3 linked regions of the Kluyveromyces lactis genome follow. The protein of the gene in region 3 purifies or fractionates together with the protein of the main gene of each other region. This does not show direct contact. Links are inferred from orthologs where the notes say so. Each region holds a gene or a part of one and is shown on either strand. Other genes may lie near its edges. The genes, in order: GIM3, PAC10 and PFD1.

Evidence for each region.
Region 1: the proteins of PFD1 (region 3) and GIM3 purify together in Saccharomyces cerevisiae (affinity purification with mass spectrometry; 3 studies listed by BioGRID). This does not show direct contact. The link is inferred for Kluyveromyces lactis from reciprocal best matches to the Saccharomyces cerevisiae genes PFD1 and GIM3.
Region 2: the proteins of PFD1 (region 3) and PAC10 purify together in Saccharomyces cerevisiae (affinity purification with mass spectrometry; 3 studies listed by BioGRID). This does not show direct contact. The link is inferred for Kluyveromyces lactis from reciprocal best matches to the Saccharomyces cerevisiae genes PFD1 and PAC10.

What each region holds. Positions count from the first base shown.
Region 1 is NC_006040.1:948,610-951,132, reverse strand, and holds GIM3 (tubulin-binding prefolding complex subunit GIM3), read right to left. Parts: upstream 944-2,523; coding exon 554-943; downstream 1-553. Other genes in the region: KLLA0_D11143g (uncharacterized protein), read left to right, coding at 36-81, 170-414; ARO9 (aromatic-amino-acid:2-oxoglutarate transaminase), read right to left, coding at 1,293-2,523. UniProt on the Saccharomyces cerevisiae protein: Binds specifically to cytosolic chaperonin (c-CPN) and transfers target proteins to it. Binds to nascent polypeptide chain and promotes folding in an environment in which there are many competing pathways for nonnative proteins.
Region 2 is NC_006039.1:412,235-414,801, reverse strand, and holds PAC10 (tubulin-binding prefolding complex subunit PAC10), read right to left. Parts: upstream 1,216-2,567; coding exon 622-1,215; downstream 1-621. Other genes in the region: DSC2 (Dsc2p), read left to right, coding at 1-527; KLLA0_C04477g (uncharacterized protein), read left to right, coding at 1,498-2,567. UniProt on the Saccharomyces cerevisiae protein: Binds specifically to cytosolic chaperonin (c-CPN) and transfers target proteins to it. Binds to nascent polypeptide chain and promotes folding in an environment in which there are many competing pathways for nonnative proteins.
Region 3 is NC_006037.1:573,043-575,387, forward strand, and holds PFD1 (prefolding complex chaperone subunit), read left to right. Parts: upstream 1-1,429; coding exon 1,430-1,771; downstream 1,772-2,345. Other genes in the region: RBH1 (Rbh1p), read left to right, coding at 1-29; ATP synthase complex assembly protein ATP12, read right to left, coding at 153-1,136; ATG27 (Atg27p), read right to left, coding at 1,978-2,345. UniProt on the Saccharomyces cerevisiae protein: Binds specifically to cytosolic chaperonin (c-CPN) and transfers target proteins to it. Binds to nascent polypeptide chain and promotes folding in an environment in which there are many competing pathways for nonnative proteins.

The sequences.
Region 1 (2,523 bases), on a different chromosome or scaffold from region 3:
GTAGCAACAGTAATAACAAAGCATTAGCCGCAGATATGAGATTTGCACCTATTTTTATTGGAACGGCGTTGGCCAGTTCGTGTATGTTTAAGGACGGATTTTCTTAACCCTTTTTTTTCCCTTTAATTCTCAACTTTACTAACATCATCATCGTCATCGTCAAATACAGTATCTTCACTTATGGTTATATATCCTGACAGCTTCCAATACTACAATGATTTAGTGAATGTGGCACATGAACTTGATGGGACTATAACGCATGAATATACATTATTCAATGGGTTTAGTTTGGATTTGCCAGAAGAGTTTGTCGCTAAATTCAAGGAAATGAACCAACATTTTAATTGGGGGCTTGAAATAGAAGAAGACCAGGAGGTTCATGCGTTAGGTGGGCTGAAAGAACATGCTGTTTGATTGCATTATGGACTGAATCAACGTTGTGTCGGTCTTTACTATTATTTTCTATGTAGATTTTATACGCAAACATATATTACTCGGTTTAAGGATATTTTTTCAATTCTATCAAGCACTTCAGCAATGTATATTTATGGGCTCAACGTTCCAAATTGATGTTGTCACCGAATTTGGCATACAATATACTCTTTAGCTCTTTTATTCTTGAGTCCAATTCCGCCTCATCGCTCTCTAGCTTTTCTATATTGCTGTCGATGTTTTCAGCATCGGATTCTAACTTTTCAACTACTTCTTTCTGTTTTAGAAATACGAAGACGTCTCCGATCTTATATTGTACCTTCTCATCCTCGTCTATCAATTCAATTTCCAACGATACGTCGTCGAGGTACTCTTTCTCTGTTCTTTGTTGCGTCAAATCTTGTTCGATAGCATCTTTTCTCATGATCAACTTGGAGAACTCATTGATACGTTGTTGATCTTCGTATGCAACGGTGACCGTGTTCTTTTGACCCTCCGGTAGTAATTCCATTTCTAGTTAGTGTGTTGCGTGTAAGATGTGGTAGATGTCTCTGTGTCTACTCATGTCATGTACTGTTTTCATCTGTACTTTTAGCCATTCTTGTTATTTTTTATTCAACTTTTACATACTCTAAAGATTTATCTTGCAAATTACACTACTGACATGCAAAATTATGTCATGCAATTTTACAATTTCATGCTCAAAAGAAAGCAGTTGGGACATATTTCACGGCCCTATCAGGTTTATTGTTTCACGTTGTAATTATGCATTCATATATAAGTATCTAACTTTTGTTTTTATGGTGCAACGTGAGGTTGAAAATTAGCAATTACCAGAAAGAGCTGTAAAACAGACCCCTTCAGTTGTGATACTCTTTGAAGAATCTCTCAACACCTTTACCTAGCCTTTCAGCAGCTGTTTGTAAATGCTCTTCATCTGGAGCCATAGCAAATGTAATTCTTAAAAAGTTGGACCTGTCATATGAAAATTTCTTGTCAACTGCCATTCTGTAACCCAAGATTACAATGCAACCTTCTTCCAACAACTTGTAGTTTAAGAAATTCATGGCCTTTAATTTATCCGAGATTTCTCCGAACTTATCAAAATTGATCTTGATACTAATGAACATACCGGCAGAGGGTTCAATCAATTCAAATAATTCTTCTTTATAAGCTGGTGTAGCTTCCAATGCTTGGAAAAGCACATTTCTTCTATGTGTATACTCACCAGCAACTTTCATGACCCATGATAGCCAAGCTCTGACCTTGTCTCCATTGAAATTTTCTGCCCATTTGTCTATTATATTAATGGTCATAGCTTGGGCAAGACCACATGGCGATCTAACAGAAATGTCTGCATATTTCAATAACTTGTCTAGGATAAATTTATTGGCGACAATGAAGGAAAGACGCATCCCAGGGGCGAAGACTTTGGAGAAAGTTTCTAATCTAATGACTCTCCCTGATGTGTCTATGGTCAAATATGAGGGGGCTAATATTTCTTTACAATATTTATCGAAAGTGATAGTGCCATCGTTATATTGATTCTTTAATGGATCAGACTTGTCAAAGGGTAAAAACTTTAGGTAACCATACGGATCATCTTCCACAATTATAATGTCATGTTTTTCGCATAGATCGTATATTTTCTGTCTCTTCTCTTTGCATTGTGTCATACCGGTTGGATTTTGCCCTGTGACGATTGTGTATAACAGTCTAGGCTTAGATAAGTGAGAATATTCACCTGTTGACCAATTCTCAAGCAATTGGTCCATATACTCGACGTTAATACCCTGCTGAGAAGCATCATCCGTGATATCAACTTTCAATGGAATCGGAATCCCACCATTTGCAGTGACGTTGGAGATAGTCGGAGTGAAAGTAAATTCTTCCATTAACACGGTAACGTCTTCATCTGTTAAAGTGGTGAAAACTTTAGATAAAGAATCAGAAGATCCATTTGCTAACATAACATCCCAATTGTCGTAAGCTGGCTTGTTTAAGTAACTAACCAACTTCTTTGAGAAATCAATCAATTGCGGGAACCCTTTCGTGTCAGAATATTGTAGTGCCTGGGCAATTGGAATGTTA
Region 2 (2,567 bases), on a different chromosome or scaffold from region 3:
GGGCTTATACAACAGTGGTAATATTTTTGATTTCGAATCTACTTAACAAGCTTTTGCCTGGAATTTGGTGGGATCAATACACAAATGGCCCACTACCAGTAATATTGTGTTTGACTCATTTCTACAAACAGTATACACCAAGGTTATACGAATTCAATATAATAATCAACCAACCTTTTCTTCTTCATTCTAACACGATCGTTTGGAAGCTGACAGATCAATTTTTCATCCATGGCCTGTTATTCCTTGCCATGGTAAATCAAGGCGCAACAGGGTTGGTAATCGGACTAATAAGTTGGATTTGTGCTATCTTGATGGATAATGGGCTACTACCAGGTACTGACTCCTTCCAATTGGCGCCTTTCAAAGACAGCTGGAACAGAAGTTCTAGCACATTAAACAGACCAAGCGCAGTTATGACAAACGATATGACATCGGAAGATCTAAATGAGGAAGAGGCCGAAGAACCTCAAGATGAACCTCAGCGCACTTTAGGGGTCCAGTTCTTGGATACTTTTAGAAGGTGAAACACTTTTTGTAGATAATGATAATATTTAAATCTATCAATGCGTTGATTCAATTACATGGTGTATATACATAAATAGGATTTAAAGAAACAGTTCAACCAGAAGAGCCTTCCTTTTTCATCTGCTGCCTCCTTTGAACATCCCAATTGTATAATCTAGCACAATTGACCTCCATAGTCGTGATATTCTCTCTTAGGAACTCCACATCTTGCTGAGATATGTCCAGATTTTGCTTGGCATCTGCTAGCTTTTGAGCTAAAAGCTCAATTGCCTCATCTAGAGGATACTCGAGCATCACATCGGCACCTAACCATAACCCGACCTTTAATTCAGGATCCTTCGGATTGACTGACGCCTTACTAAAAAGCGTTTCATTTAGCTGATAGTTGATCAGCAAGCTGTCATCTTCCTCCTCATCGTCTTCGTCAACCTCTGTCTCTCTCTTTTGCTTCAAAAGCGCACACATATTGAGAGTATTTTCAATATCTGGAATCTTGCTTTTAAGCTGTTTTATGTTTGCTAGTTTAGACTCTTGCATGTACTTATATTTGGATAGATGTTCTTGGAACTTGCTGAAGCACATATCGAAATCCTCAGGACTCTTCACATACTGCTCCACCTTTTCCACGAATGGAGCCTCAGGAATCCCTCTAGGATTTGTCTTTGCAGAATTGAATAGCGTATCCATTATGTTACTTTGTAGTTTTGTTTTGACGTCTCCACGCGGTCCAAGCACATACCAAGCAGCTCTTTCCCCTCAATACTTCAACAATTCTTTGTTTCATTCAAAGTTTGTTTTAATTTGCAAAACTATGGAAGATTAACATTGTTTACATGCAGAAGAATGAAAAGTTAACAAGTAAAGGAAAAGTTGGCATTATCGGAAAAACGAAATCATTAGTTCGGAAACTTCATCAAGTGCTCGGACATATTAGAATTCCTGGTTCCTTAGTTAAAATCAAGTCAGTAAATGTTAGAGAATGAACTCTCGTTCGTTTCTCTCACAAGAGTTTCTTTAAACGTAATTGAGTTGAATATACATGCCAAGGATGCAACAATCGTCAATAATGTGTCGTTTTCTCTTCCAAATGGTCAGCTAATGGCAATTATTGGTGGATCAGGTTCAGGTAAGACTACCATGCTTAATGTTCTAGCAGGCAAAACAAATTCGAGTATAAACTATGATGGGGAAATCCAATACAGTCGAGATGCTGCAAAAGAGGGATCTAAAGCTGACGAGAAGGTAACCACAGCGTACTTGACACAGCATGACGCATTAGCTGCGAGGTTGACATGCAGAGAAACACTTCGTATTGCTGCTGATCTTAAATTACATCTGCCGAAACAAGAAAGATATTCATTAGTAGAAGAGTTGATTGCGGAGTTGGGGTTGAGGGATTGCTCAGAGACGTTCGTAGGTGATTCAATAAACAAAGGACTCTCAGGAGGTGAAAAGAGAAGACTAAGTATAGCAGTACAGATGATTGCAAATCCGTCTGTCTTATTCCTGGATGAACCAACAACTGGGCTTGATGCGTACTCTGCGTTTTTGTTGATAAAAACGTTAAAGAAACTTTGTGAACATGGCGGAAGAACTATTATTATGAGCATTCATCAGCCTCGGTCAGATATACTTTTCGCGTTAGATCAAGTGTGCCTATTATCAAAGGGATTCCCGATGTATTGCGGTGCGGTGGTCGGTATGGTGGAATACTTCTCATCCATGGGATACACCGTCCCTGAAAGGTGCAATCCTGCAGATTACTTGATAGATATCTGTAGCGTAGACAATAGAACTGAAAAGTCGACGCTTGATTCTGAAGGAAGGTGGAATATGTTTGCTTCGGAATGGCAAGAGAGATGTTCTACCAAATATGACACCTCAAAGGAAACAGCGGTTATAAGCGTCGATCCTTCTCCACCATCTGTGTCCATCTTACAACAAACATTCATTTTAACCAAGAGAAATTTTTTACTATCCAGTAGAGATAGGCTGACTCTCTTTGCAGTACAATTTGAGCCAGTTATTGTCGGAATTGT
Region 3 (2,345 bases):
AGACCTATAAATTGCTAGGTGCTCTGTAAATACGAAACACTTGTGATGTGTCTGAATATTACCTTTGAATTCCCAAACTCTTAGTTATAAACTTTCTTTATTAATCATATGTACAGTAAGTATAGTTTTAATTTATTCTTGATTGTTATCATCTATTTCGACGAGGTTGGTGGGCCGAATGCAACAATCGCAGCTGCATGGATGTTTCTTCTTACATCACGTTTATCGACATCATGGGTATCTTCAACTTCACCCCATCTTTCAACTTGGTAAATAGTCTCGAGGGTAGCTGCTCTTGCAATATCTTCCATGGAAACTTGTAACTCAGGAATATTTGTGACAGTTGCCGATTTATTCAATAGCAATAATAGACCGCAAATAAAGGATTTTGTTGTTAGGACAGTCTTCTCGAAAATGGCTAAATCCCAAACAGATAAAGAATCCAAATACTGTTTAGCTACTTCTCTGGTCTCTCCACTTTGGGCGTTACCTCTCAATCCATGTAAATCAGCGTCCAATATTTGTAATTTGACTTCTTTCTTATCTTTATTTATTTGAGATAGGAACTTTTCGACACCGGAAATTATCGGTAGATACAATTCATCTTGAGCCTTTCTTAGCGCACCTTCGTATTCATTTGCTGGAGAAAACACTAATAGAGTATCAGTATCTAAATATCTCAAAAGACCTTCAGTTAACTTTTCTCTGTTCCCACCTATCTTCGCAACAAGTTCTGGGTCTACACCGTCCTCATTGGCCTTTTCCAAATCAATGCAACGGGAAACTAAAGAGGTTAAAGGTAAAACATAAGGCTTGACAGATAAACTAGGAAGATTACTCCATTCATTGAGAACCATAACCGATAAAAGCTTACGAGATTGTGGTAAAGTTAAAGGGTTCCCCAAAGGAGTACGCAAAGGCTTAGAATCCAATTTAATGGTAACATTTTCGGGGGTTTCTTCTAAACTCACTTGTTCCCAAAACTTAGTCAAAGTCTTGGACAATCTATTAGTCTCTGTTTGTAAATTATTCTCGATACTGTGATCCACACCTAATGGAGAAGCTTGTGCATAACATCTGACTCGTGATAAAACAGTTGGCGAAACCAAACGAAATGGCCTGCTCAATCTTAACATATTTGCAAACAATTCTTGTTAAGTATCACTGGATGTAAATTGAACCAAGGGCTTTGGAGAACTTGGTCCAACCTTTTTTTCATTTCTATTCGGGCATCTTGTACTTATTCACTACTATAATGATTCAAAAAATAAAATTATAAAGTTTCCACGATCTGAAATTTAAAGCTTTAAGCATGATGATATGGAAACTATTGAAATGTAAGAGTCATACGCTGGCTTTGCAGTAGTCAATCTAGATCTGTGAGGCATAGTGCAAAGAATTTGATACTCAATTACACAAATTTGACAAAATGAGCTCTCAACCGCAAGATATAGTAAAGGAGATGGCAAATTCTCTTCGTAACAGCAGATCACAATTGGATATGACGCTTGCACAACTGGAACAACTACAGAGGCAAAAAAAGATTGCTAAGTTGACTGAAAAGGAATTGGGAAATTATGGAAATGAGCAAGTGTGGAGATCTTGTGGTAAGATGTTCATCCGTCAAGAGAAGCAAGCCTACACTGCTGATTTAAACCATGATGAAAGAATATTGGACGAACAGATAAAGGCATTGGAACAAAAGAGACATTACCTACAGACCACAGTCGATAACACGGTAGAGAGTTTGAGAAGAGTCATTGGAAATTAAATCAACTACTGAGTCGGCATCGACAGGGGTTTTTGTATGGGTCAAGCAATGTGGGAAGATAGTACCCTTAAAAGTCGTATTCATCATAGAATAGAGTTAAAGTATTTAGCAGTGGTAATGTTATATATAGTTGTACATTAAGAATTCTCTATTTCAGAATACATGTGGTCTTTATTCATCGCACGTCAAGGAGGAGGTACATTCGATCAAACCGCACTGTATCCGCCTCTTTGAGACGATGAACCACTATTTACGATTTTCCCTGCCACTTCTTTAGCGAATTGTGGGAGATTGGTAGCGAACGTAGTCGATCTATCAACGAACTCTTCCCGGAAATCGTTAAAGGAACCGTTTCTAGTGTTCATATACGAAGTAACCACGAGATAAATAAGGGCAAAGATAGTTGCATACATGAATAGCCATACGAGCCACGACCCAAGACCAGCTCCGCCCTTTGGTTTGGATCCATTTTTATCACCATCGTGAGGCTTCTTATCGGAGTCATCACCATCCTTATCATTGTTATCGTCGTCTCCGTTGCCATCTTTATTGTCATTTCCCTTTTTCAAACAAC